Linked DNA regions of Elephas maximus indicus. The protein of the gene in region 3 binds, or shares a complex with, the protein of the main gene of each other region. Links are inferred from orthologs where the notes say so. Each region holds a gene or a part of one and is shown on either strand. Other genes may lie near its edges.

Region 1 (7,952 bases), on a different chromosome or scaffold from region 3:
TCACCCAGGATTTAATCTCAGCCTTGAATGCCCAACTTCCATTACAAAATCACTGGGAATTATAGACACATATCCATGTGATGTTTTGTTTTGTTTTGCTAAAGAGAAGTCAATGGACATAGCACAGCAATGCTTTTAAAACCAAACAACAGAATCTAAAAGTAAACACAGGTGACCTGAACTAACTTGCTTGCTTATACTGTGACAACACAAATAGTATTTTCCTGCAAGTTGTTTCACAAAGCCAAAAAAAAAAGTTTTTACAACCCCAAGGTAGTCATAAACAGATTTTGATTAACAGTTTTGTAAAACTTTAGCATTGCTAACAATATAAACTGACATAAATACCCCAGCTATGAAGAGTTCTGAATTATGAGGGCATTCTATAAAGAAAAACATTATCTGAATATGTAAATAATTATTACTGATATATCATTTACATATCATTTTCCGTTTACTCAGGTGAATATATTTTCGTGTTTTTAAAGCATCTTACTGCAAATTCGGTATTAGTAAACATTTAATCACTATTTGTAACTTTTCTGATATTAAACATTTCATAACTATTTTATTTAACTGACTCAGTTATGCACTGTGATGCTAACTCACAGAGGTGATTGCGTTTAATTCTGTTTCTTCAATTACATAGACCATAATTTTCGAACATGTCTTTAGTCTTTGGGAAGGTAGGTGGACTGTGGTAATCATATGGAAGAAGTCCTAGAAGAAGCTAGGTAATTTTGTTCAAACATCTTTATAGCTGTAAGACATGTGAGGATACACCAGACGTTGACAACATATAAAGCATCTTTCATTGGTGTCATTCACAAGCCACAGTGACCAGTAAACTGTAAGGTAAAACCACCAATAATAAACTCTTCAAATTCAGCTGGCACGAGAGCAGATCCCAGACTAAGGTGTGGTGTGTGAAGCACCTAGGGTGCAAAATTTAACGAAACATGCAACTTTCAGGATGCTAGTCCTTGCCCTGCACACGTGGTGTTTGCTGCAGAGGCCAGGGGTGCGTGATTTCCACATTCTTACCTCCGGTAGTTTACTGGGTTTGTTTGGGTTACCTCCGGTAGAAAGGATTTGCTCATCTCTAGCCCAGTACCCGAAGACTCAGCAATTCCTCTTGAGAAGCAGACCAGCTTAATCTGCTCTATTACTATCGCTAAAATCCTGCCTCCTCTCCCCAAAGTCTGTGTGATAATACCCAGCAGTCCTCCTCCAGAGTTGTGGTATTACAGTGGTTAAGTGCTTGGCTATTAACCAAAAGATTGGTGGTTCAAACTCCCAGCCACTCTGCAGGAGAAAGACGTAGCAGTGTGCCTCTCTAAAGATTTACAGCCTTGGTAACTGTATGGGGCAGTTGTACTCTGTTCAATAGGGTCGCTAGAAGCCGTGGTTGTGTGTGCTGCTAACCAAAAGATCAGCAGTTTGAATCCACCAGCCACTACTTGGAAACCCTATGGAACAGTTCTACTCGGTCCTATAGGGTCGTTATGAGACAGAACTGACTCGATGGCAAAGGGCTAGTCCTACTCACAGTACTAGAGCCCTGATGGTAAACACCACTCCAGTATCTCAGGCCCTGTTATCTTCTGACACAATTCCTGAGAGAAATCACCTACTTAGATTGCAACATCACCCTTGATTCATCTCATTATTTGGTCCGAGGGCCCACCCCACACAGTTCCCAGTGCTGTCCGCTTGCTGAGGCTGCCCTTTGGCCTGTTAGTCTAGGTTTCTTAAGAGCCTGTGGCTCGGTCTGTTCCCCTTCAAATAGTTCCCAGTTAGTCCTACCCCATCAGAGTTAACAGAACCATCCAATCATTGTAACAACCAAAAGCACTTCCATGTTTTTTCCAAAGCATCAGCTGGGGACAGCACTTCTCCAGTTGAGAATCACAGAGGGAAAAGAGAGGACGTACCTTCAACAAGAAATGGGCCAACTATCTCAGAGTCTTGCTCTTTCCATCCCGTTGGTTCATAAACCTTCTGTCAAAATCATCTGGGGAAACTTCTGATTTACTTATTTAACACACAATTATATAGTGCTTACTCTTAAATTATTATAAACACACTACAAATATTAGCTCATTTAATTCTCATAGCAACCCTATGAGGTAGGCCCCCATTCTACAGATTACATGCAGAAGCTAAGATTGAAATGCAGGCATTTTGCGTGTGAGGTATATGGTAAGGACTGCTCTATGCAGCAGACATCCAGATCCCATCCCCAAAGATCTGAGTCTACAAATCTGGGAAAAACACAGTGAAATTTGTATGTATTTGAACAAAACTTTCAAGTTATTTCATATAGTGAGAAAGGCATCCACCCAGTAGCATCACTAGGGTTGGTGTCACCCTCCATACTAATTACCGCAATATTGTAGCACATGATGAAACCATGTGATTCGAAGCATCATTATAATTAGGTAATAATGACAGTTCTAACTGGAGCACATTAGAAGATTCAAAAAGTAAATTAGCATAGAATATTAGTCTTGTAGATATACTGATACATGAAGCTGAGTCTAAGAAAAAAAGTTTTGTTGTTATAACTACAGGAATATTTTTATAAAAAAATAAATTTCTAGTGAAACACTGCACAAAAATTTTAGAGATGGTTATTTTGGTGTCACTCCCTCTGACAGTGTCTTCTGGTACAGACCACACCCCGCCCCACCTCCTTAGTGATGTCACTGCACCCACCTACTGACTAGTATTTGAGAACCACAGGACTATACCACATGTCATTTAGAAGAGACAAGACAACGACTTATGTGGCTAGAAAGGAATCTCTGTGTTGGAGTACAATGAGAAAGCAAGGAAGAATGGGGGGCGGGGGAGACTATTAATTCAGAAACTTGGAAGCCAGGCTAATACGAATCAGTTAAAATATATTGAGAACATAGCATCAGGGGAGCAGTACAAGTATCATTAAAAAAACCATGAAATTATCCTATTAAGAACGATACATGACAGCAATGGTCTTAAGTGAAAGATGCATGAAAAAAGAACAGCCTACCTAGTTGTGTGATGGGCTACAGATGGGCAGATGTTGACCGATCAGGCATAATAAATGTACAGACCAGTCCTTTCTTAAACAAAAATTAGTAAACCAGTCTAATTTGTCCAAAAACTCACCTTAATTATGTGAACTTGGATTCTTAAAAAGTTTCCGACCTAGCAGCTTTTATATCAAGGACATGTTTTTTAAAAGTCTAGCACAAAGTATTAGAAATTCAGTGTCTTTTTATTATTTATTTTTTGTGAATTTTGGGATTATAAATTTATGTATCACTACAAACCAGTCAGAACTGACTCCTTTAAAAGCCATTATAAGTATTAACATCCTCCAGAAGTAGGAAAACATTTTACATTTACACAATGAGATATAAAGGCTTTTTTAAACTATAGACCCACAGACACATGAAGAGCTTACAGCTTCAGTTGTGTATCCTCAATCCCCAGTGGAAAATAAACACAGAAACACAAAAGCTAATCAACCACCACAGCTGTTCTCCTTCCCACTGAACACAAAACTGTTAATTTGAGCTCACAAGAAGACAACAACAAAATAACCTGTAATGTCTCTTCCAATAGAAAATATACCTCCCATCACCTGACGTATCACTAAATGGTGAAATCATAAAACCAAACTCCCAAAACATTACCGCTACTAGTGTTAAATGACTTATCAGCCAGGCACAAGTAAGAAACACACACACAAGTTTAAATAGGAAGAGTGGGAAAAAAAAAATTAGAGAGTAAAGTTAGGTCTATAACCAATTGGGATTTACTTTAAAAGCTAATAAAGACATGACTGGGCTTAACCCATGAGGTGCACTTCTTCAGTGATACAATTTATTTGGCTCCACAGGTGGTCCCACTTGGGTATCTCCATGGAATCTCAAGTTTCCAATGGTAAAGTGTAATTTTCAAAAGTATAACACCATGACCCTCATGAAAATATAAAATGAACACATGTCAAAGTTTTATTCAATTCATTAATTATATAGAGAATTGGGAAGACATTAAAACCAATTCAAAGAGCATTTGGGATGCTGGGGATGTATTACTAAAATTATGTTAGAATACGATCATAGAATTAGATACAAAACCGATTAATGTCTAACTGAACAATAAATCATAACCTCTGGAGTAACCTGGTCCAACAGATACCTGACAAAACTCCACAAGTTAAAGTCTGCCCCTACAGAATTGTACAATAATACGGTCAATAAAAAGGACAAAACAGCACTGAAAGAACACTCAGTAATCTCTTTTGCCTATTTCCAAATTTTTGATAATTTTTCTCACAGGAGTGAAATATTAGAAATATTGCATGGGACATATATATATAATAAAAATTACTGTTTTATCTGAAAGTCAAATTTAACTGTGCCTCTTTTTTTTTTCCTGTATTTTACCTTGTAACCCTGCTAACGAGTTAACAAAAATTTTACCGAGTTTGTACAGTTCCGCTGTCAACCTTACAGCTCTTACATCTGTGCCTCACGTGCTACCCCCCGTAGATAATAAAAATTTAGCGGTATTCCTATTCTTTATATTTACCACTGGGTGACGCTTACAACCCGCAGTAAACCCACTGGTATGGAGTCAATTCCAACTCATAGCGACTCTCCACGACAGGGGAGAAACGCCGCAGTCTACTAGGGGAGAAAGAGTGAAGAGTCCTCAAAAGCCGCTTCTACAACCCATCCCCCAAGGTAGACTTGAAGAAGCTCTCAGATTTCACAACCAGGCTCTGTTGGCGCGCGCCGGAAAAGGTTCAGCGAAACCGCCGAACTACGCCCAGGCCAGACCCAGACTGCGCAGGCGTTCGGGTTAGTGCGCAGACGCTGTCAGCAGGACTCACGGGAAGCGGAAAGGGAGGGGGTGGAGCCGCTGAGGGCGCGCACGCGCAGAGGTCGGCGGCTGCCTCCAGCTGGGGCGCCTGAGGTGTTCTGTGCTCCTCGCCTCGTGCGTTCCATGGAGATGCCCAGCTCCCGGGCGCATCCGGAGGACAGCGCTGAGCTGGTCCCTTCCGACAACTCGACCCCGCACAAAGAGGAACTTAACAGCAAGGCAAGTGTGGACGCGGGAAGGCTCACGGGCCCCGGATGGGGCGCCACTGGCCCCAAAGATGGTCCGCCGCGGCTCCTTCGCTCCCCGCGTGCTTGGCCATCCTCGGTCCCTGGTACCCGGTGGGTCAGTGTCAGTGCGTGACTCGTCGGGCCTCGGCTTTGCCCAGCTGGTGTGCACTTTTTACTCATGGCACTATGTGCAGCTCTATACACTTTGCAGCTGCCTTCTTTTAAACAGTTGTAGTAAGGGAGACACTGAAAGTTGCTCCAAGGTTAGACTTAGGTAGCAGTGGGACGGAGGTTTTTAAAATTTTTCACTTTACCTTTTAAAACTTTTAGAAAGACCGCCCTCCTCTCCTAGATGTTCTATTGCCCGTATTCTCCATCTCAGAAAACGCCACCACCGTCCGTCCAGTTGGCTATGCAAGTAACAGGCGAGCCATCCTTGACTTCCATCACAACGTCCTGTCACTTCTACCTCCGAAGCCCCTGGACTCTTAACCACCGTCTACCCTGCTATCAACCCAGACCAGCCACTATCGTCTCTCATTGGGACTCTCTCAAATCCTTCCCAACTGGTGTTTCCCCATCCACCATTACTTTTTTCTAATCTATTCACCATTTAGCAGCCAGAGTAATAATCCTAAAACATGTATCTGATTGTCACTCTATTTTTAAAAAAGGGGGGGAGGGGAGGCAATATAAAAATTTCGTGCAATAGACAAAAGCTTTAAAAATATGGGGAGAGAGCAGTTACAGCTTTTCAGATATTAGGTATCCTTTGCTTCTGTCCCAAACTAACAGTGACATCTTGGGCAGGTCTCTTTAATCTCTCTCCATCATATTTTCCTTGTTTGAAGTATGTAAGTGAAATTTATACCTGCTTTCCTAAAATGAATAGGAAAAGTACTGTTCAGACATAACCTATTGTTATTACTACTTTCATCCCAGGGAGGTCATATGAATTCAACCTTGGTATTCAACCTGATCGAGTCAATTACTAGAACCTTGATTATCAGCTAGGGAGACACAAAGGTGCACACACATCGGGGGTAGTTTTTTAAACTACACAGCATGTTCCTGTTACTACCATAGCAAGTCCCTTAAATTAATATATGATATTCTCCAGGTGTGTGAGGTAGAAAAAAAGACCGTGAACAATAATTTTAGAGCCACTAGCGTTTGGGTAGCGAAACTGTCAGGTTGTCAAAATAACTAGTTATTTGCTTAGTTTTCACTTAGCTGAATGCTCCCATGCTAGTATAAAGCAAAGCCTCTTTCAGTAGTGCCAGGACTGTGCTAGTCTTTGAAATACAGAAATGAATAAAGCAACAATGGGAAGTGATAGGTCTTACTGCCACAAGTAGGGCATTTAGCATTACTTGCTTGTTTCAGATGTCTAGCTACACCATTTAGTTCATAAATCATAAAAACCACTAATAATTGAAAAAAGTAGCCCACCCCTTATCCCATTCAGAATTAAATAAAAAATATAACACAGCTTGTGAGAATTAATTGAAAAACTGTTAATACTTTTGGTGCATACCATATGCTTTTAATAGAAGATATAAACCTTGTTTGGTTACCGTACCACTTGGTGTGTATTCTGGCTACCAGCAACCCTTGGCCAGTCTAATCACTGCTTCCCCCTTCAACTTTCCCCCACCTCCATCCCACACAGACTTTGCGAAAAGAATCTGTATATTCACAGACTGCCCATTTTGAAAATCACTACATAATAGTCCCATATTCCATTTCTGATTCTGAAACAATTAAAGGACCATCTTTGAACATACCTTGAGAACTCCTGATTTAAGGATTTTTTTTTCCTTTATTTCTATAGATTAAAGAACAAAAAATTGTTGTAGATGAACTTTCTAACCTGAAGAAAAACAGGGTGAGTTATTAGAGTAATTGGTTATATTTTATTAAAAATTACATATATGGTTTATATAAATCTAACGTTAAAATGTTTAGGATTTCAACATCTTTTTAGTTAACAAATTGCAAAAGTGAAAAAGTTTTTTTTAACGTGTGTGTAATGTTGAAAATGGTTTTCCCCCATCATGTGGTAGGGTCGGAATCAACTTGACGGCAGTGGGTTGGGTGGGTGCTATCCACATTACTTTTGGACCAAATGATACTAAGGGTACTGTAGTTTACTGCTGTAATCAGTAATAGTATTTATTTTATACTTGAATTTGATATTTTCTTTTGTAATAAATTAACTTTAAATATATGGAAAAGAGAGGAAACTTTCTATAAATGAATATGGATAATTGTTGAACAACAAAAAAAAATGATAAAATTGCCACCCCCCAAAAAACAATAATAATAACCTCAATCTTTGAAGTGCTTAACACGATTTTTAAATGTATTCATGAGCAAGCTGCCAAAGTTACCAAAAATTACATTTTAAAATTCAGGAGGAAATTATTTTAGCTCCTTAAAGGATTTAAAATATTATTTTATAACAGGTTAGACATTTCTAATATTGCCTTTTGTGGAATATTAGAAGTTAAGGCGCAATTGAAACGAACTTTCTAGATGACAGATTGGCAGAGCATATCAAAGTCTTAAAACTGTAACAGCTTGACCCAGTAGTATCATTTCTAGGAATTGATGCTTAGAAAAGAATCACGGGTGTGCACAAAGATTTAGTTACAAGGATATTTCATCACAACATTGATTTTATAATAGTGAAAAGTTGGTAACATCACAAATGTCTTAAGATTTGGGAACTGAGCAAATAAAACTAGTATTTTATATCCATACAGTAATACTGTAAAAGAATACTTATTAACATAAGAAAAGGTGTTCACAATGTAGTATTTACTGATAAAAGCAAATTATAAA
Region 2 (6,471 bases), on a different chromosome or scaffold from region 3:
CACTAGAGCTGATTAATCTTTATTATCCCCAAAATCTCAGCACAGACCCAGCACACAACAGGTGCCCAGAGGGTGCCTGACAAAAGAAACTCAATTAGAGGAAAACACACTGAAACTTGTATTGGGGGGGGGGGGGACGGACAATATAAAAAGCTGGAAAAAATGCAAATACTCTCTAAGGAAGAGCAGAAATCCAAAGTAGACACACCACCCCTACCCCTCACATCGCAGCCAGGACTTAAAATGAACAATCGTCTTTAATGACGACAATGATGACAGCAGCACTTCCAACTTGCTAGGCCCCATGCTAAGCTCTCTATGTGCCTTAACTCACTTAATGTCTACAACAGCTTTATGAGCTGGACCAAAACCACCACCAAATCCATTGCCATGGAGTCGATTCCAACTCATAGTGACCCTATACGACAGAGTAGAACTGCCCCATAGAGTTTCCAAGGAGTGCCTGGTGGATTCGAACTGCCGACCATCTGATTAGCAGCCGTAGCACTTAACCACTATGCCACCAGGGTTTCCTGAGCTAGACCAGGGGTTGGGAAACTAAGGCCCATGGGCCAAATCTGTCTATTTCTGTACAGCCCACAGGCAAAGAATGGCTTTTACGTTTTTAAATGGTTAAAAAATCAAAAGAATACTATTTTTACACCTGAAAATTACATGAAGTTCAAATTCCAATGTTCATAAATAAGTTTTATTGAAACACAGTCAAGCTCATTCGTTGACTCTGTGGCATGGTTGAGTGTTTGTGACAGAGGCCACATGTGGCCCTCTCACTGCTTCACACTGCTGCTCGGAACACCTACGATTCGCAGTGACTCAGTTATAAGCTGACAGCAAGTGGAATGCCTCATATTCTACCTATCTCATCACCCGTCTGTGTAAAAAGATGTTTTCCAAGATGGAATACATAAAAACTCTGCAGATCGGCCTTGTCCGGTGAGCATTCGCCATCGAGTTTGATGCTCTGGCACACTAACTTTGAACCTCAATTAAGCACAATGCTATCCTCAGACAGGGAATCTGATTTTCTCAGTCGTCAACCTGTATCACACTACGCTGTACTCGACGATCACTGGGTTTTCAGTTTAATCGCTAAAAAGATCCGTGACGATTTTTCTGTCTTGCTTGTCAAGTAACTACAATAAGGTCCTCAATTTCGCCACATGGCCTTCAAAGCCCAAAATATTTACTATCTGGTCCTTGACAGAAAAAGTTTGCTGACCCCTGAGCTAGACACTCAGCTCCCCATTCTGGGGGTGAGGGAATTACAGCAAACGGGGGCTAAGTAATACGCCCATAGTGACATAGCTAATAAGTGGCAACGACACGATCTAAACCCAGGCAGGCCAGCTGCAGTCTGTACTCCTAAGGACACATTAACTTCCATACCTTCCTGCCCCACCGTTACGCCCAATACCTCATCCCCAAACAAGTGACTTACGTGCCTGTAGAATCTACTGTCACAGCCCGGACCCCACCACGGTGACACAGAATCTTAGCCAGTGGCTCTTTCACAGCTGGACTCCATAAAGACACAGTACCTGAAAGTCAGAGAAGAGCTAACGTTACAGATGGGATGCTGAGGTAGTCACACCTGGGAAAGATGAGGACCTAAGACCAAGAGATAACGACAGGAAAAGGTAAAATGGCAATTTAGGGCCACGCGAAATACAAATACAGAAGAAAAGCAGGTCAGGATGGCCAGAGAGTCGCAGCTAAGCCAGGGACTGACCGTTGCTGTGTCCGAGATGGATGACGGCATTATAAGGGTTTTGAGTCATGACATCAAGGCGTCCAGCCCGAGCATTCAGAGCTGTCACAATCTTCCCTACCGACACATCCAGGTAGGTCAGGAACCCTGTCTCTGACTGAGAGAATGAAAATGACTGAGTACTGATTGTCCTCTGGCCTCCCTACACTAGGGTTCCAGGGGAGGAGCGGCCTTCCCAAGGGCTGCCACCCGGTCCCTGTGCTCCACAACCACTTACCGCTGTGGTCAGGAGGAAGTGGAAGGGCAGGAACTCGAGTCGCGTAATGCGGTCACAGCGGCGGATGCAGTGGAGTTCAATGCCTTGGTTGTCATAGATGTGAAGCCATCGGTTCTGAGCGACAGCAAGCAGTGCCTCTGAGTGCAGAAACCTGGACGTTCAGTGGGAAAGGGGTCACAGGCTGTCATTCCATCAGAGAAAGGCTGTCTTGGCCCCACCGACTGCTGACTGGAAGGCCACTGACCGGATGTCCCGCACAGATTCCATGACATTGATCTCACACATCAGCTTCTTTGTTACCCAGTCAAGGGCAGCCACATGACCCCGACGCCCTCCAAAAGCCAGGTGTCTGTTGGAGAACAGGGAGAGGCAGGGTATCAATGCAGGGGAACACGCTGACTCAGACAATTTGAAGTCTGCTCCATGCCAGCCCCTTCTCACCAAGTGAGAAGTGAAATGTTACCGTAGATGCTCACCCCTATGTCCACGCAAATCACGATCCCCTCCCCTCGTCAACAGCTCAAGCATATTACTGGAATTCAACTTTACCTCCCAGTTCGAGAGTAACTCAGCCTGTAGGGTCCAAACTGCCGTAGATTCAAATCAAAGTGCTGGGAAAGGGAGGAGTAAAAACAATCAAGAAAGAATAGGCTCCCTTCAGCAACTCCTGCTTCTAGTTCCCACTTCTCTCTGCCTTGCATCACTAATAGATCCACTGGCCCCCTCACCACCCTCAGGCTCACCTTGGCTGCACTGGCAATGTCCACAGCCTCCACGATGTCAGCCTGACATATCTTTGCCGTGTCCTCCCCATCATCCCCTTCCAAAAATCTGCAAGAGAGGATTAGGACTGCAGTAAAGCTTCCTAATATGGTGAAACAAAAATTAGAAGAAGGAACAGGGATCACAATAGAGGACCCCGAACAGAGCTAGAGAAAAATGTATAACAAAACTCTAACTCACAAAAAAGAGACCAGGCTTACTGGTCTGACAGAGACTGGAGAAGCCCTGAGAGTTTAGTTCCCAGACACCCTTTTAACTGAGTACTGAAGTCACTCTTGACGTTCACCCTTCAGCCAAAGATTAGACAAGCCCATAAAACAAAATGAGACTAAACAGGCACGCCAGCTCAGGGCCAGAGATGGGAGGTCAGGAGGGGCCGGGAAAGCTGGTTAACAGGGAACCCAGGGTCGAGAGGGGGAGAGTATTAACACGTTGTGAGGTTGGCAACCTCCATTACAAAGAAATACGTGTATCGTTTAATGATAAACTAATTTGCTCTGTAAACCTTCATCTAAACTACAATAAGAAAAACAAGAAAAGGGAGCCCCATAAAGGAGGAGCCAGGAAAGCCCAGATTAGGATCCACTCACCCAGGTTCCTCAGCAAGCACCAACTCAGAACGAGCAGCTCTGACACTGGTTTCCTCTTCCTCAGCTTCAGCCACTTCAAGTCTCTTTTGAGTTTTGGATTTAGAATGCAGTAGCTATAATAGCGTCGGTCAGGAAGGGGTCATGGAAAGAACCAGAGAATATGTGAGGTGACAGGAGAACCACCTGGCCCAACATCTATCCAACTCACCAACACACCCTCTGCCTCCAATCCCTCCCCACTTTCCGATCGGTCCTCACCTTTTTGGATTTGTCAATGCGACGGAACTTCAGGGCCGCCTCCACAGGGACTGGGACAGGGCCTGGGAATGGGTCCTGGGCCTGGGGCAGGGAGAAGGTGATTAGCAGACATGCTCGGGCTGACCCAAACTCTCTCACCTCAAAGCAAGATGCGCCTTGCCCCAGCACCCCATCAGGCCCCAATCTTACCCCAGACAAGGTCCGCTGGGGCACCGGATTTCTCCGTTCTCGAGACTTCTTCGGAACCTGGGGCTTCTTGGAGATCCTAGACTTCTTTTGGATGTGAGTGTTCTTTGTTCTCCGGCGGCGGAGCTCCTGCTTCCTCTTCTTGCTACGAGAGGGTCCTGGGGAGGCTCTAGCAGCGGTCGGTGAGGTCTCTTCTTCCTCCCAGTATCGCCGAGGTTTCTACCGGCAGATGAGGGACCCTGATGCTCCGCTACCCACGACCCTTGCACCCCCGGACCCTGCAGTTAAAAAATTCCCTTCCCTTCCCAGAGAGACCTCTACCTTCCTCTTGGACTGAACTCTATTTTTCTTCGGTGGGACATCCCCACCCGGCTTGGGGGCAGTCTCCATCAAGCCCACCAGATGATGATCCACGTGCAAACTCCTCTCAGCTGTCCCACAGTAGGCTAGGAAACCCCCGGAAGTGCTCTGATCCTCACCCAATGAGAGCCGTATACCAGGTCTGAAGCCCTCTGGCGCCATCTTAAGTGAGGGTGAGCGCTCCTTTGCGAGGCGGGGTTGTCTTGGCTATGAGTCGGAATCGACTCGACGGCAATAATACGGGTAGTCCTTCGCACCTCCATCCCGAACGGCAGTTTTTGCTCTAGTAATAATGCCACTGTGGATTAAAGAACGCCAAATCGCGGCACCAAGTAACAGTGAAGTTTTTTCCATCTAAGTTTTCCCATCTTGCCTAAAATCTTCTCAGTCCAGTCTTGTTAGCAGAACGCCTCTCATCACACATGTCAGAACCACACTTCCCGGCGTGTCTCAGAAGGCAGCGTCCGGCGCCGTCTTTTCCCAGCATTCCTTGTTTACTTCCGGGGTTAGTAATTCTAAAGGGAGAACGTGAATAGGGCGAGCTTTCGACTGAAGGGGTTGAGGTCTCGTTTCACCTTATTCCTTGGGGCTGGGACAGAGTCGATATTCGCAACGGGGAGAGGTTGCGGTGTCCTGAGGGGCTGCTTCTCAAGAGTGCTGTCTGTTCCGCCGGCCAGGCCAGGAAGGGAAGCTCGGGTACCTTCCAGAGTGTCAGACCCAGCGCCCCTCTCCCGCTCCTCGCAGGTTGTTGTCCCCGCCATGGCTGAGCTGATCCAGAAGAAGCTACAGGGAGAAGTGGAGAAATATCAACAGCTACAGAAGGGTAAGGGAGCAGGGTCGGTGTGGCCTCACCCCAATCTCTTCACTCACGCACAACCCAAAACAGTAACCAAGACAAAATTTTTCTGCCCCACCCACGCCCCTGTGTGAAGCCCCATCCCCTCCTCAATATTCCCCGTATCCATCGACCCATCTTTGTCTATTTCTTCAGCTCCATTCTCCTGACTAGGATTGTAAGAGTCGGGTGGCACATTTGATGTCTCTCATCATGTTTTTCCTTCCACTTCCCAGACTTGAGTAAGTCTATGTCAGGACGGCAGAAGCTTGAGGCGCAACTAACAGAAAATAATATCGTGAAGGAGGTGAGGGACTGGAATTTATGGGGCGGGAAGTGACTGGGATTTGTGGGGTGATGGTTCTGATCGTATATGTCCCTCTCCTCTACTCAGGAACTGGCCCTACTGGATGGGTCCAACGTAGTCTTTAAACTTCTGGGTCCTGTGCTGGTCAAACAGGAGCTGGGGGAGGCACGGGCCACAGTGGGGAAGAGGCTGGACTATATAACCGCTGAAATGTGAGTCTGTCCCAAACGCTGTAATGCAACTGACACTGTTGGAGTAGTTGCTGAGGAACCATTGTAGAGCAGCTCTGCACAGTGGCCCCTGATTGTGCAGTCCTCCACATCCTCCTTCCCTTTTAACCCTCCATCTCCTCCCTCCCCTAGATCTCAGCTTTGCCACTTATCTTTCTTGCTTTCAGTCTTTCAGTAGTCTCACTAATTTTTCCTTTTCTGTTTCTTTGTCTTCCTTGCCTCTCCTCAGTAAGCGATACGAATCCCAGCTCCGGGACCTGGAGAGGCAGTCAGAGCGACAGAGGGAGACCCTTGCTCAGCTGCAGCAGGAGTTCCAGCGGGCCCAGGCAGCAAAGGCAGGGGCTCCTGGGAAGGCCTGACCCTGTGGAGGTGGGGGGAGGGTGGGGAGGAGGGAATGAGGCAGCTCTAGATCTATACTGTAGCTAATAAAATGTGAAAACACTTGGTTCTGTTTTCTGACCAGCTACTCTGTCAAGTTTCTCTCTACATATTCTTCTGGCCCCTTCCACCTTATATGCCACTTACATTACTGTCTGAGGCCCATATTTTTGCAACTGGAGTCTCTCTTGGCAGGGCAATCTTTTCCTTCTTTCTTGAAACCAAAACCTGAAAGGTCTCAAATTTGTTTCTTGCCTGCATTTACAACCCTTCACATTCCCTTATCTTGGTTGGCGTGACCAACCAAGGAAACATGGGCAGGGCGTTTACAATGCAACATAGTGTTAGGAATATCGGTTTAATTGAAGAATCACAGTTCTCTAACCTGAGACCTCAGCATGAAATGTGGTTACCGTCCTTGCTATGAATACTTGTCATCCTTCCAAGAGCCATGGCATCTCTTTTAGTTCTTTTTAGTCTGTTTTCTTAGAATTTGTTTGTAGCTTAAACTGATGTAAATTCCCAACGTGCCTTATGG
Region 3 (7,781 bases):
AAAATAAATTTTGTGTGTGTGAAATTTAAGTTAAACTTGCACAGACCCACCTCCAGCCCATCAGAACACTGATAGTGTTCTCCCTGTTGTATATAGTAAATTTAACACCTTCTTTTCATAAGACCGAAACCAAACTCATTGCCAATGAGTCAATACAACCCATAGCGATCCTCTAGGACAGAGGAGAGCTACACCATATGGTTTCCAAGGAGCAGCTGGTGGATTCGAACTACTGACCTTTTGGTTAGCAGCCAAGCTGTTAACCACACCACCACCAGGGCTCCTTTCTTAAGACGGTGGTGTAATATTTGTCTAACTACCTAGTGTGTTTCAATCACATGAAACGTAATTATGAGAGTTACGAAAGTTTTTTTAATCTCAATATTTCCTATACAACACCCTTGTTCAATGAGCAAAGAAAAACTAGATTTGGTCAGGTTTTCGGCATTTGAAAAATGAACCTTGCTTTTACATACACAACATACAGATTTTCTGGAAAGTCTTTCCGATAGGGGTTGGAGCTCAAGCCCCTGCATACGAGAATGGCGTTTGGGGGATTCCGGCCTGGACTTGGCTGGGTTAGATGCCTCTGTTTAAAAATCTTACAAGGGAAATAAGTTCAGTCCCTCACTTGAAAGCATGAAAAATACATTAATAAAAAGCTTACATATTTAAATAAAACACACGGGAAATTATTTCTAACCACAAGATAGCAAATCTTGGACAGAGGACTCCAGCGACCCTCCATTTTATCCCCCTATTAAATGAGGAAACCCCGGTGGTGTAGTGGTTACGTGCTATGGCTGCTAACCAACAGGTCGGGAGTTTGAATCCACCAGGCGCTCCTTGGAAACTCTATGGGGCAGTTCTACTCTGTCCTATAAGGTCGCTATGAGTCAGAATCGACTTGACGGCAAAGGGTATTAAATGAAGTGATTAGATACAACGCTTTGTCAATCTCCGCTTTAACCCCACAGTTATAGATTGCAGATCGCAGAGCTGGAGTCATAAAAGATGAATTTTAGATTTGTCTCTGTTTAAAAATCTTTCAGTGTTCACACTCATTCCCATCACCGGGAGTTAAACTCAAATTTCGCAGGTGAAAAATCAGAATCTAGGTAGACAGATCAAACAGGATAGACCCTCTTTTCGACATGTTACCCGATTAGGGTCCGTGCCCTGGAGCAGTCCAGCCAATAAAACACACCAAGTCACAAAAGACAAAGTTTTCTCAGGAGATGCATACATCACCGGGGACTGGCAGCAACACAGGCTATCTCTATGGAGTTCCAAAGAGCAATTTTACATTAGAGCTTCTATAGAATTTTACAAGGGTTAGAAATGTCTTCGTAGTTACCTGAAGTACAACGCTGTCAGTGATAGGAAAATATCCATACACCTACAAGGAAACCAGTTAATACGACTATTATTCAAATTCATGCACCAATTACTAGGGCCAAAGATGAAGAAATAGATTTTTATCAGCTGCTGCAGTCTGAAATTGATCGAACATGCAATCAAGATGCATTGATAATTACTGGCAATTGGAATGCGAAAGTTGGAAACAAAGAAGAAGAATCAGTAGTTGGAAAATATGGCCTTGGTGATAGAAACAATGCCGGAGATCGTATGATAGAATTTTGCAAGACCAACGACTTCTTCATTGCAAATACCTTCTTTCACCAACATAAACGGCAACTATACACATGGACTTCGCCAGATGGAACACACATAAATCAAATTGACTACATCTGTGGAAAGAGACGATGGAAAAGCTTGATATCATCAGTCAGAACAAGGCCAAGGGCCGACTGTGGGACAGACCATCAATTGCTCATATGCAAGTTCAAGCCGAAACTGAAGAAAATCAGAGCAAGTCCACGAGAGCCAAAATATGACCTTGAGTACATCCCACCTGAACTTAGAGACCATCTGAAGAACAGATTTGACACATTGAACACTAGTGACCGAAGACCAGCTAAGTTGTGGAAGGACATCATACATGAAGAAAGCAAGAGGCCATTGAAAAGGCAGGAAAGAAAGGAAAGACCAAGGTGGATGTCAGAGGAGACTCTGAAACTTGCTCTCAAACGTCGAGCAGCTAAAGCAAAAGGAAGAATTGATGGAGTAAAAGAACTAAACAGAAAATTTCAAAGGGTGTCTCGAGAAGACAAAGTATTATAATGACATGTGCAAAGAGCTGGAGATGGAAAACCAAAAGGGAAGAACACAATCAGCGTTTCTCAAGCTGAAAGAACTGAAAAAAAATTCAAGCCTCGAGTTGCAATAGTGAAGGATTCTACGGGGACAATATTAAACAATGCAGGAAGCATCAAAAGAAGATGGAAAGAATACACAGAGTCATTATACCAAAAAGAATTAGTTGATGCTCAACCATTTCAAGAGTTGACATATGATCAGGAACTGATGGTACTGAAGGAAGAAGTCCAAGCTGCTCTGAAGGCATTGGCGAAAAACAAGGCTCCAGGAATTCATGGAATATCAACTGAGATGTTTCAACAAACAGATGCAGCGCTGGAGGTGCTCACTCGTCTATGCCAAGAAATATGGAAGACAGTTTCCTGGCCAACTGACTGGAAGAGATCCATATTTATGACTATTCCCAAGAAAGGTGATCCAACCGAATGTGGAAATTATAGAACAATATCATTAATATCACACACAAGCAAAATTTTGTTGAAGTTCATTCAAAACTGGCTCCAGCAGTATATCCACAGGGAACTGCCAGAAATTCAGGCCGGTTTCAGGAGAGGACGTGGAACCAGGGATATTACTGCTGATCTCAGATCCTGGCTGAAAGCAGAGACTATCAGAAGGATGTTTACCTGTGTTTTATTGACTATGCAAAAGCATTCGACTGTGTGGATCACAACAAATTATGGATAACATTGCAAAGAATGGGAATTCCAGAACACTTAATTGTGCTCATGAGGAACCTTTACATAGATCAAGGGGCAGTTTTTCGGACAGAACAAGGGGATACTGATTGGTTTAAAGTCAGGAAAGGTGTGCGTCAGGGTTGTATTCTTTCACCATACCTATTCAATCTGTATGCTGAACAAATAATACGAGAAGCTGGACTATATCAAGAAGAACAGGGCATCAGGATTGGAGGAAGACTCATTAAAAACCTGCATTATGCAGATGACACAACCTTGCTTGCTGAAAGTGAAAAGGACTTGAAGCACTTACTAATGAAGATCAAAGACCACAGCCTTCAGTATGGATTGCACTTCAACATAAAGAAAACAAAAATCCTCACGACTGGACCAATGAGCAACATCATGATAAACGGAGAAAAGACTGAAGTTGTCAAGGATTTCATTTTACTTGGATCCACAATCAACAGCCATGGAAGCAGCAGTCAAGAAATCAAAAGATGCATTGCATTGGGTAAATCTACTGCAAAGGACCTCTTTAAAGTGTTGAAGAGTAAACATGTCACCCTGAAGACTAAGGTGAGCCTGACCCAAGCCATGGTATTTTTGATCGCATCATATGCATGTGAAAGCTGGTCAATGAATAAGGAAGACCGAAGAAGAGCTGACGCTTTTAAATTGTGGTGCTGGCAAAGAATATTGAATATACCATGGACTGCCAAAAAAATGAACAAATCTGTCTTGGAAGAAGTACAACCAGAATGTTCCTTACAAGCAAGGATGGCGAGACTGCATCTTACATATTTTGGGCATGTTGTCAGGAGGGATCAGTCCCTGGAGAAGGACATCATGCTTGGCAGAGTACAGGGTCAGCGGAAAAGAGGAAGGCCCTCAACGAGGTGGACTGACACAGTGGCTGCAACAATGAGCTCAAGCATAACAACGATTGTTGAGGATGGCTCAGGACTGGGCAGTGTTTTGTTCTGTTGTGCATAGGGTCGCTATAAGTCAGAACCTACTCGATGGCACCTAACAACAACAACATAGAATTTTAGAAGGGTTAGAAATGTTTTTGTGGTTACTTAGCTGGAGGTATGCTCAAGAGGGGTCATTCATTACAGGATAGTGACAAAAGATACCTGCCAGACATCTCTTCATTAGGCTAAAGATACAGATATATACCTGGGCTCCAATTTTCCTGTGGGGGTTGTATGCCACAGGTTGTCGGACATTACAAAATGTTATTTGCCTCAGTTTAAAACAAAGTTATTAACATTTGGTCAAAACAAAGCCATTAGCAGAGGTATGTGAAGGAGAGGACAGGCAGAGGAAGGAGAAAAACTTACAGGTTCATCATGGCGTTAGTTATGTCGAGCTCTCAGTTGCCCATTTTGAATTAGGAAAAAAACATGCTGGGGAGTATACGGGGTCACAGGCAGCCAGAACCAAAATTAATTCTTGCCCATCTGCTTCTGTGGCCCTTTTAAACACCAAATGCTTCACTCCACTTCTCTAACTCTGCCTATGCTTCCTGTATCCCCTTAAACCCTTTAAAAAACCTTTTGCCGTGGAGTCAATTCTGACTTAAAGCGACCCTATTAGTCCTACATCCTGCATCCAGGACCCACCAAATCCCATTAGGCTCCATCCCCACCAGCCACGCGTGCATAGGCTTCACGCAGCTTTCGCAGCCCCATCGGTTTATTGCCATACAGTCCCTGCTTCCACGCTCTACGGTCTTCCAGGTCTCCTCAGAGTCCGTAAAGCCCAACCCTTCTCTTCACGCCTTTGACCGATCTTTTTCCGCCAGGACCGCGCCTCCCCACCTGGCTATTTGATTGGCCGCCTGCTTGCCACTACGTCATTTAACCGCGCCACCCGGAAGCCGCAGTTTATACCAACTCTCCGTTCTGGTTCCCGGCGGCTCTGAGGTAAGGGGCGCGTTTGAGTGTCTCTCTGTGGCAGGGATCCCAGAGTTGGGAGGCGCGGAAGGCGCAACTCCCGGTATGAATCAGACGAGCCCATTCCCAACGTTGGGAAGGTGAAGATTTACTGCGCAAGAGGCCAAACTGGAGTGGTCAAAACGGCCTTCCCTCTCCCCACTCCTCAGGAGCTCATCATGGCGACGCCCCCTAAACGGCGGGCGCTAGAGGCCACGAGTGAGAAAGTGCTGCGCTATGAGGCCTTCATCAGTGACGTGCTTCAGCGGGACCTGCAGTGAGCGGGCGTGGGGGGGCGGGGGGTTGTAACCTTCCACGTGGTGGGCGGAACGTTTAGTGTCAGCACAGAGCTTTCTGATTGGCAGGTGGGGCGTTCTGGCCCGGCCCAGCGCCCCTTTCAAGCGGGAAGGAGGGGCGACATCCGGGGTGCAATTTGACTGGGACGGGGCGTTCAGCGCGCAGGGCGTGTCTGCGCGTGCTTGACTTCGACATCCCTTAATGGTTAAAAGCTAGGTTTCTGAGGCCGGAGTTCTTAGGTTCAAATCCCGGCTCGGCCACTTGTCATCTGTGTGAACATGTACTTCGTCGCCTTTTCTCTGCTTCATTTTTCTCATCTGTGAAATGGAGAAGTTGACAGAGCCCTCAAATCTGGTGGTTTTGTGTTTTCAATGTGTTCAAATACTTCTAAAGAATTTAGCGTGGATGTCTGAAACATACTAAAGGCTCAATGAATATGAAGAATTACTGTCACTGTTAATATAAGTGGGAAGTTCGGTGTTTACAACTAGGACTTTGAGCATCCTAAAAGGGATGGAGGATTTTTCTAGGGTGAGAATGAGAGATTCTGATTGGTCAGAGGCATTGACAGTCATTTATAATAATATTAATAATAGTATAAATAATACCTAACACATATATAGAGCTTACTATTCGGCAGATATTATTCTAAGCAGTTTATATAACATTTAATTCTAACGACTGCATGAGGTAATACTGTCATTATCCTTTATAGATGGGGAAACTGAGTCCCAGAGAGGCTCCTTACTTGCCAAGTTGACATAGCTAGTAAAGGAGAGAGCCTGGATTCAGACCCAAGTCGTCTGACTGCAGAGTCCAAAATCTTATCTTCTGCACTAAAAGGCTTGTTCAGGGCATGGGGCTATAAGGGTCTCACAGAGGCAAGATATGAGGTATCCCAAGAGGGACAGGGTCACCTGTTGGTCACCACTGGACTCTCACTCCATCAGAAAGGTGCTGGACCATCGCGACAAAGTATATGAGCAGCTGGCCACATATCTTCAACTAAGAAATGTCATTGAGCGACTCCAGGTAAAGATGCCAAGGTTGGATACCTTTTTTGTGGGCAAGGGAGGAAGACAAGAGGAGAAACCCCAGACCAAAACCTGTCTCTTGACTTAAAATGTGAGTACTGACCCCTTCCTCTTTCTCCCTGGCCCCACAGGAAACTAACCACTCGGAGTTATATATGCAGGTGGATTTGGGCTGTAACTTCTTCGTTGACACAGTGGTGTGAGTGTCTACCTGCCCCTCTGAGCCCACAGGATTCAGCATCCCCCTTCCTTCATTCAACAAATATTTTGAAGGCATCTGCTCTAACCAGACACAGCTAGGTGCTAGGGATGTGACAGTGAATAACATAGAACAAAATCCCTGCTCTCCTAGAGCCTCTATTTGGGGAAGATGGGGGAGGGGAATCAAAAAACATCTTGAATAAGTTATACGGTATACTACATGGTGGTAAGGACTTCCCCCTGCTTCCTCTAACTTCTTTGGGGGAGGGGAATCAAAAAACATCTTGAATAAGTTATACGGTATACTACATGGTGGCAAGGACTTCCCCCTGCTTCCTCTAACTTCTTTCTTCAGCCCAGATACTTCACGAATCTATGTGGCCCTTGGATACGGTTTTTTCCTGGAGCTGACATTGGCAGAAGCTCTCAAGTTTATTGATCGTAAGAGCTGTCTCCTCACAGAGTAAGTCCCTTCTATGAGGATCGTGTCTAAATCACCAGTACCCTTCTTCCTTCTCCCCATATCTGCCTGGGATGGTACTTAGGGACCCATCTCCCCTCCTTCTCAGGGCTGGGGCTGAGGAATGTGAGAACGGAAAGCTGAGCCCCAGGCACAGCACATAATAAGCAGTCTTTTTATCATTCATCAGACACTTATTGGGCATCTCCTATATGCCAGGGTCTGTGTTTGGTGATGGGGATGCAGCAGTGAACAAGAAAGAATGGTTCCTTGAAGGCTTACATTCTAAGGGATGAGACAGATATTAAGTATACTGTTATAAAAAAGAAATACATAAGTACAATTATGACCAGATCTGTGAGGTCTCGTTAGCCTGTAAATCAGTAACAGTAAAACAAGTTATCTCTGACTTTACCTCCTGCTAATTCCCCTGCACATTCACTGTGCTGTTGTTACACTGACCTTCACACTCTTCTTTAAACACCCCAAGAATGATCCCACCTCAGGGCAATTGTACTGGCTGTTCTCTCTGCCTGCAGTGCTCTTCCCCAGATAGCCATGTGGCTTTCTCCTCACTCAAATGTCTTGTTTATAGGCCACTTCCTCAACGAGGCTTTCTTTAACCTAACTTTAAAACTGTAACCCCTAGCACTCCTGATTCCCTTCCCTTAGTCTTTTTTCCCCCCAGCACTTATCACCTCCTAATATTTACTGTGTAATTTACTTCTTTGAATGTGCATTGTCTCTTCCTATGAATATATAAGTTTTACAAAGAGAGAAATTTTGTCTACCCAAGTGCCTAGAATAGTGCATAGGCACTCAGTGTTTGTTGAGTGAATTAAAAATGGTATGCGGAAGCAGAATGAAGTGGTAGTCTGTGTTAGTGGGGATGGTGAGGTGATATGAGGAGAAAGTGTGGGCTCCAGTTGAGTTTGTTTTGCGTGGCATC
Region 4 (7,742 bases), on a different chromosome or scaffold from region 3:
GCCCACACAGCCAGAGCACTGTGCTACCCTTGCCTCTTTTAGTCCATCCTACAACCACAGCCCTGGGACTCCCTGAGTGGTGCAAATGATTAATACGATCAGCTGCAAACCGAAAGACTGGCAGTTCAATCCACCCAGAGTCACCTCAGGAGAAAGGCCTGGCAATCTACTTCTGAAAATCAGCCAGTGAAAACCCTATGGATCCAGACAGTCAGATGCCATTGTACATGAGCTGGGGGTTGACTTGACAACAGCTATCAACGCTGTTACAGCCAGGGGAGCCTTTAGTGAGGTTAACCCAATCACGTCCTGTGCTTGCTCAGAACCGTCCAGTGGCTTCTCACTGATTGGAAAACCAAATCCAATCCCTTCATCTTGGCTGACAAGGCCTGGCATGACCTGCCACTCTCACTTCCACCTCCAGCATAGGGGTCAAGAGCCTGCCTGAGGAATAAACAGCATTGGTTAGAATTCTGGCTCTTTTGCTCATTCATTCATTTAAAAATGTTTAGTAAGCACCTACTACAGACCAGGCACTGTTCTAGGCATCTGGGATACATCAGTGAAAAAATGAGACAAAGATTTTTGCCCTCATAGGGTCTCTATGAGTTGGAATTGGCTTGATGGCAATGGGCTTGGTTTGTTTTTGGGGGGTTTCCTTTCGTAAAGGGAGATTAACAGTAAACACAGTAAGTAAGTAAATTGTATAGTATGTTGTTGTTGTTAGCTGCCATCTGGTCACCTCCTGACTCATGGCAGCCCCGTGTACAATGGAACAAAATCCTGTCCAGTCCCGCCCTGCTGGGGTCATCCCCATGATCAGTTTTGGGTTGGGTCATTGTGATCTACAGGATTTTCATTGGCTGATTTTTGAAAGTAGATCTCCAGGCCTTTCTTCCTGGTCCATTTAGTCTGGAAGTTCCACTGGGGCTTACTTAGCATCTGTTATGGATTCAATTATGTCCCCCCAAAATATGTGTTGGAATCCTAACTCCTATACCTGTGGGTGTAATCCCATCTGGGAACAGAGTTTTCTTTGTTGGGTTAATGAGACCGTCTCAGTGAAGAGTGTATCTTAGACCTATTCACTTTTGAGATATAAGAAGAGCATATTAAGCAAAGAGAGGCAAGCACAAACGGAGGGGGAGATATATGCTGTGTGGACATCACCAAGAAATCAGGGAATGCCAGGTCTACAGGAACTGAGAGATCTTTCCCCAGAGCTGAGAGAGAGAGAAAGCCTTCCCCTAGAGCCGGTGCCCTGGATTCAGACTTCCAGCCTCCTAAACTGTGAGCAAATAAATGTCTGTTCTTGCCAACTACCTACCTGTGGTATTTCTGTTACAGCAGCACTAGGGGGCTAAGACAGCATCATAGCAACACACACACAAGCCTCCACTGACAGCCGGTGGTGGCTGAGCCTGAAGGTGATAAAGGCTGTAGAAAACAGAAAAAGCAGAGCGGAGGAGGGTATCCTACGTGCTGGGTGGGGCCGGGCTGCATTTTTACACAGGGTGGTCAGAGTGGGCCTCACTGAGCAGGTGACATTTGAGCAAAGAGGTAGGAGAGTGGCCCACAGAGATACTAGCGGAAAGCTCAGGGAGAGGGAGCGGCGGTACCAATGTCCTCAGGTGGGGCCGTGCCTGGCCCATTGAGGAACAGCAAGGAGGTAGGAGATGCCTCAGAGAGTTGGTGAGAAGGCCAGGGCAGGTCCCGTAGGGCCTTGTGGACCTCCTCGAGGAGTGTGGTTTTTCCTGAGTGGAGAGTTTGGATCAGTGAAGGAGTAGGGAGGTAGGGCAGGGGAGAGTGGGAAGCCGAGCAGGGTTGGGACCTCAGGAGTTGTGTGGAGGGCAGCATCTGCCTGACATCACCCCTTCTGCAAGGAGGGTGGGCTCTCATGCCCCTGAAATGATAGTTAACAGTTTGGGGGTAGGGCAAAGTCCCTCCAATAGGCTCCATTAGCCCGAGGACAGTCCTCCCCAAGGAGACATGTAGGTGCTGGTCACTGAATGCATCTGGGGGCAAGGGGTGTACAGAAATGTAAAAAGAAGCCCAAGAGCGGTGGGGGAGCATTGCTTTTGTTGGCTCCAGTCCCTTAACACTACAGCCCCAGCAGCTGCTCCTCTCTGGGCCTGGTGGGGTAGCCAGGGATGGGGGCATGCCCCAGTGTGGTCAGGTAGGGTTTTTCTGGTTAGAAAAACACCCTACCCAGTGCCTGACTCCCTTCTGCAACATCCTGACCATGTGGCCCCAGCCTCGACTTACATACCTCCTGAGATAAGGAACCGATTACCCTTGAATTGTTCAAATTCTAGAAAGTCCTGCCTCATGTTGAGTTCACTCATTCATTCCATGAATGTTAACTGAGCACCTACCATCGGCCAGGACTGTTGTAGGCTCTGGAGATACAGCCATGAACAAGACAGACAAGGCTCCACCCTGCAGAGCTCATGTCTGGAGAGCGAGATGGCTAGAGGAAAAAGATGGCGTGTTAAGTACAGACTTGGGGCAGGGGGCCCAGGAAGCTGTGAGGGCCCTTGGCCCTTGGGAGGGGTGACACCAATCTGAGAAGTAGTTGTGTAGGTTCAACATATGGGAGAAAACTAATCCAGGGTGATGGAGGATGGTGTGCAAAGGTCCTGGGGATCTGACCATTGCTCACCACCCCCCTGGTCCAGCAGCCATCCTCTCTCTCTGGAAATCAATAAATATTTGTGTAATAAATGGTTCTGAAATATAAGTGATCTTCCAGCTCTGACCATCTGGAAGTCTTGGATATTACACCCCTCTCCAACCCTTCTAGGGGCCTGGGGTGCCCTCTAAGTGCCAGTCACAGCCAAGAAGCAGCCAGCATGGGAGCCTCCCCCAACCTCTCCCACTCCAGGCCTATCTGGTAGGGGTCAGGGGTCAGCCTGGTTCCACCCTCCTTGGACCCCAAGGTGGGGAGACCCAGTCCTGAGATCCAGGTCCCAGGGATGCCTTGTGAACCCCGTTTTTCCTTTGACAAATGTGTCTCTTTCCTTCACAGGGCCTTTGTCTGTGTTTCTGAACCAGAAGGTGTTTACACAAAACATCCTGGGTTTGGCGAGAAATTCACCCTCAGTGAGGAATCCTTCATGAATCTCTCTCCTTCCCCACACCAGGCAGCTGCAGGGAAAATTAGCCCTGTCTCTGGTCATTGAAGGCAGCCAAAGGCCAGGCAAAGAGGGTGTGCTGCTGGCACCACACTTTGGGGAAGGGTGTTTTTCAGCAACCAGAGGCAGTTTTGGTATGGAGAACTGAGCAATTCAGACCCACTTTTGCTCCTGACTTGCTGTGTGACAAGCCACTGCCCTTCTCCTGGCCTCAGTCTTCAGCTGTAAAATGGGGCAATAATAACCGCATCTGTACAAAGGTTGCTATGGGGTGTGAAAGGGCTTAGTTACAAGGGGTCAAAAAGGGGAAACAAATAGCTGGAATTGGGGCAGCAGGAGGTCCATAATCTAGTATCAGGTCTGCTGTTGATTTTTCCAAGTCCTCCCCTCTCTCTGAGTCTCAGTTTTCCAGCTGTACAATGAGGGGCTGGACATGAAGATTTCTAAGGAACCCTCTGGTTCTGACGGGGAGCTACTTCCCATCTGTCCAGCTCCTCTGGGAAGTTCTCCCGAATCCTACGGCATATATCAAGTCCTTTTCCAGCACTCCCAGAACTTCTTTTCTGAGCTGGTACTTCATTGCTCACTGCCCATAGTTTCCCAACCGTTCCTTGGGTTTAGTTAGGGCAACCCCTCCAGGCATTGGGCCCAATGCAGGGGCTCAATGAACACTGGGCAAACTGAATTAAAACCGATTTCTTTCTCCTTCCTGTCCTATGGACGTCGTTTATTCATTCTCATTTTATACACTGGAAACTGAAGGTGCCAGAGGTTAAATATAAGCACACCACCACACAGGCCTCCTTGAAGTTCCTCAAACAGGCGAAGAATGGTTTCCATGTGTCCAAAGCCCTTTTCACTACTTGCCATAAGCCAGTAAAAAACAAAACAACAACAACAAACAGTTCCCATGGAGTCAACTAAGACTCGTGGCTACTCCATGTGCGTCAGAATAGAACTGTGATCCATAGGGTTTTCGATGGCTGATTTTTTGGAAACAGATAGCCAAGCCCTTCCTCCAAAGCACCCGCCTCTGGGTGGACTCCAACCTCCAACCTTTCAGTTTGCAGCTGAGCATGCTAACCGTTTGCACCACCCAGGGACTCCCTACCTACCATAAAAAACAAACAAGTTGCCCTCGAGTCGATTCCGACTCATAGCGACCCTGTAGGACAGAGTAGAACTGCCCCATAGGTTTTCCAAGCAGCGACTGGTGTATTTGAACAGCTGACGTTTTGGTTAGCAGCCATAACTCTTAACCACTACACCACCAGGATTTCCTCTAGTATATAATTATTTGTTTTGTCATTAATTGTTGATGTTTCTCACTAGGACAAAGTTCCACGAGGGTAGGGACTTTGCTTTGTTCACTGCTGAATCCTCAGCATTTAAAACTGCCTGGCACATACTAAATGCTAAAGAAATACCAGACCTGGAAAAGCAGAGCAGAGCTGCGGATGTGCTCTCTGGCCCTCCAGGGGGCGCTCCAGCCACTCCCCCAAAGCTAGATCCCACCCCTGAGTCCGGCAGACGTCCGTGCGTAGACGCCTGCGCACCGCCGTTCTTTCAATTGCGCCTGCGCGCCGGAAGCGCTGTCAAAGCTGCGCGTGCGCGGGCTCAGCCGGCGTGGAGCCGGAGGTGGGTTAGCGGCCAAGCGGGGGCTGGCGGGGACCATGCTGTCACCGGAGGCAGAGCGGGTCCTGCGGTACCTGGTGGAGGTGGAGGAGCTCGCCGAGGAGGTGTTGTCGACCAAGCGGCAGGTGGGAGGTGCTGCTGCCGCTCCCGGGCTGGCGGTTGGGGCCTGGCGGCTGGGGCCTGGCGGCGAGGCGGTAGGGAAGTGCGGGGTCCGGAATGCGGCTCCGCACAGATGCGCAGTGTATTGACCTGGCCTGATGATGATGGTTGGGCAGCTCCGAGACGACAGACTTCGAGGGCGGTTGTGGGATAACGTGGGTCAAACGCTTAGCACAGCGCTTGCGCGTCACTCATTTATTCTGCGGGTACTTAGTGAGCAGTGTTTGGTTCCGTTGTACGGGGCGTCGCTGAGTCGGAACCTACTCGACCCTACCTAACAACAACGACAACTATGTGCTAGGCGTTCCCTCTCTCCGTGCCTCCCGATCTCCTACATTACCCATTCCAGGCGGTTTCCCGGAATCACCTTTCTAAAAGTTCATTTGCGGGGTCCCCTCGTTGATGGGTGCACCGCAGCTGTCAAGGTCCTGAGAGACGAAGAGTTACAGAAGAGAAGCCTGAGAGGCCTTGTGATTGGGAGGAGGGGGGCCTGGCCATGGAGAGTCTTGTAGACCCACATAGGGAATTTGGGTCTGCTTCTCTTTTAAATGCCAAGTCGTTGAAGGGATGTCATGGAGGAGTGTGAAGTAATTGGATTTTCGTTTTAAAAGAATTTTTCTGGCTGCTGTCTGGAGCATAGATATAGAGGGGCAATGGTGGAGGCAGGAAGATGACAAGGGGCCATTGCCATGGTTCAGGCTAGCGATGAGTTTGGATCAGAGACATGGAGAGAAGTGAATGGGTCAGAAATATATTTTGGAGATGGACTGACTCAGGAGGAGGTGATAATGGTTACATATAGGGCTGAGGGATGGGGAGAAGTCAAGAATGTCTTATAGTAAATGGAAGTGAAACAACTAGAACAGAAATAACAAGAACTTTGACACAACGTGAAAAATGTAAGCAAAGTCACTGATCGTTATATTTAGAAACTGGAATGGGAAGGAGTTTTACTGTGTATATATTCACAAAAAAAAATGACTTATGACTTTGTCTCCTCTCCATTTAAAATGACTGGGTGGTGGGCGGGGCATTTACTGAGAAGCGGGTGGCTTGGGAAAGGGCCTATTAAGTGAAAAACTGCACCGACATATGGTGGTCGATAATAGTAATAGCAGTTAAAGTTATTGTGTGTCAGGCACAGTGCTACCTCATTTCGTTGGTGGCTTAGTAACCTAGGAGGTATGTACTGTTCTTTTCCCCATTTTTCAGAGGAGGAAACAGAGGTGAAGTCACACAGCTAGTAAGGGACAGCGGTATTCAAGCCCAGGTGCTTGGGTTCCAGAGCCAGCACGCAAGCAGTACACTGTATTGCCCCCTCACTTCCTTAGTAGCTATTAGGTTGTTACTACCCTCTCACTGCCCCTACCCCTGCTGTTCAGTCTAGTATTTTGAGTTTTTTGTGATACTAACTCAAAATCAGCTGAAGGAGCTTGTCCAAAACTAGAGATTCTTAGGCCTGCTCAGTCACAGTGTCTAGGGGGGAAGTTTGGGAATCTGCCTTTTAAACATGCTCCCCTGGTGATTCTGATATGCCCTATGCTCCAGTAGCTAAGACAAATTAGCCATTTAGCCTGCAAACATTTTCTAGCACCTTCTCAGGGGGACAATCCTTGCACAAAACATTGTCTTCAAAGACCTGAAAGGTGAGTAGGAGAAGAAACACATTCACAGGCCAGTTTAAGCAGGCCGTTGAAAGAAACCTAGGAATGATGTCTTACTATTTTCCCAGCCCCTGTTTTATTGGAAGGTGACAAGCTGGGGCAGGAGGTAGCTGAGTTCCCACCTGTCCCTTTGCTTTTCAGATTGTGGACCTGGACACCAAACGGAATCAGAACCGAGAGGCCCTGAGAGCCCTGCAGAAGGATCTCAGCCTCTCTGGTAAGTTGAGATTTCCTCACTGTGGCCCTAGAGGCCTGTTTGGTTTTCCTTCTGCGGCCCTCGCTTTGTCCTTGGTAGAGACCAGGCCGGAGGCCACAGGTATATGACTGTCAGCCTCATAGGGAATTCAGACAGCCTGCAGGGATGGGGGGAGACCCTGGTGGCATAGTGGTTAAGTGCTACTGCTGCTAACCAAAAGGTCGGCAGTTTGAATCTGCTTGGCGGCACTCCTTGGAAACTCTATGGGGCAGTTCTACTCTGTCCTATAGGGTTGCTATGAATCGAAATCGACTCGATGGCAACGGGTTTGGTTTTTGGTTTCGGTGGGCATAGGGGGAACTGTTACAGGGCCTGACACAGACTGTAGCCCAGGATCTCAGCTACCTACCTCAGTGACACACCATTACCTCCTGGCTCACTTGGTGATGACAGACAGAGGTGCTGGTGTATATAAAAAATGGCATGGCTTCTGCCCTTCTACTCTAACAGATAAATAAAATAGCATGAAATACATAATTGAGAATTTTGAGAAAGCTAAAGATAGAATTGGACATGAAGCAGGTGTAGGTGTCGAGAATATCCAGGAGGAGGGGGTGGGGACTGTTGAGATGGGGCCGAGTGGCTGTGGCAGAGTAAGCAAGAAGGGAGGGCATGAGATAGGCAGAGGCCAGGCCATAATGAAGGGCTGTGGGGACCAGGGAAAGAAGTTTGAGTTTTGTTTAAAGTTTAGTGGAGAACATAAAACCTTCCAGTTGCTTCTCATTTCACCAGAGGAAAAAGTTCTGCAAGGCCCCCCCATAGTCCAGCCCCCCACGAACTCTCTAACACCATTTCTGCTCTCTTCTGAATTCATTGACTCCAGCCAAATTGGTCTCCTCACTCTTCCTAACACCCCAAGCACACTACTGATGTTTGCTGTTCCTGTTCCCTCTG

What was found.
Region 1: UXT (region 3) and ASDURF share a complex: the UniProt entries of both Homo sapiens proteins name them as parts of the PAQosome complex. The link is inferred for Elephas maximus indicus from reciprocal best matches to the Homo sapiens genes UXT and ASDURF.
Region 2: UXT (region 3) and PFDN6 share a complex: the UniProt entries of both Homo sapiens proteins name them as parts of the PAQosome complex. The link is inferred for Elephas maximus indicus from reciprocal best matches to the Homo sapiens genes UXT and PFDN6.
Region 4: UXT (region 3) and PDRG1 share a complex: the UniProt entries of both Homo sapiens proteins name them as parts of the PAQosome complex. The link is inferred for Elephas maximus indicus from reciprocal best matches to the Homo sapiens genes UXT and PDRG1.

What each region holds. Positions count from the first base shown.
Region 1 is NC_064824.1:87,826,236-87,834,187, forward strand, and holds the start of ASDURF (ASNSD1 upstream open reading frame protein), read left to right. Parts: upstream 1-4,931; 5' UTR 4,932-5,001; coding exon 5,002-5,097; intron 5,098-6,939; coding exon 6,940-6,993; intron 6,994-7,952.
Region 2 is NC_064819.1:96,082,232-96,088,702, forward strand, and holds PFDN6 (prefoldin subunit 6), read left to right. Parts: upstream 1-4,690; 5' UTR 4,691-4,942; coding exon 4,943-5,006; intron 5,007-5,254; coding exon 5,255-5,325; intron 5,326-5,412; coding exon 5,413-5,537; intron 5,538-5,784; coding exon 5,785-5,914; 3' UTR 5,915-5,952; downstream 5,953-6,471. Other genes in the region: WDR46 (WD repeat-containing protein 46), read right to left, coding at 1,460-1,559, 1,751-1,886, 2,007-2,157, 2,251-2,355, 2,556-2,617, 2,750-2,837, 3,380-3,492, 3,638-3,718 and 2 more. UniProt on the Homo sapiens protein: Binds specifically to cytosolic chaperonin (c-CPN) and transfers target proteins to it. Binds to nascent polypeptide chain and promotes folding in an environment in which there are many competing pathways for nonnative proteins.
Region 3 is NC_064846.1:123,951,519-123,959,299, forward strand, and holds the start of UXT (protein UXT), read left to right. Parts: upstream 1-4,776; 5' UTR 4,777-4,831; intron 4,832-4,857; exon of another isoform or gene 4,858-4,904; intron 4,905-5,010; 5' UTR 5,011-5,019; coding exon 5,020-5,117; intron 5,118-6,087; coding exon 6,088-6,169; intron 6,170-6,302; coding exon 6,303-6,370; intron 6,371-6,727; coding exon 6,728-6,835; intron 6,836-7,781. UniProt on the Homo sapiens protein: Involved in gene transcription regulation. Acts in concert with the corepressor URI1 to regulate androgen receptor AR-mediated transcription. Together with URI1, associates with chromatin to the NKX3-1 promoter region.
Region 4 is NC_064843.1:37,504,001-37,511,742, forward strand, and holds the start of PDRG1 (p53 and DNA damage-regulated protein 1), read left to right. Parts: upstream 1-4,725; 5' UTR 4,726-4,807; coding exon 4,808-4,894; intron 4,895-6,733; coding exon 6,734-6,809; intron 6,810-7,742. UniProt on the Homo sapiens protein: May play a role in chaperone-mediated protein folding.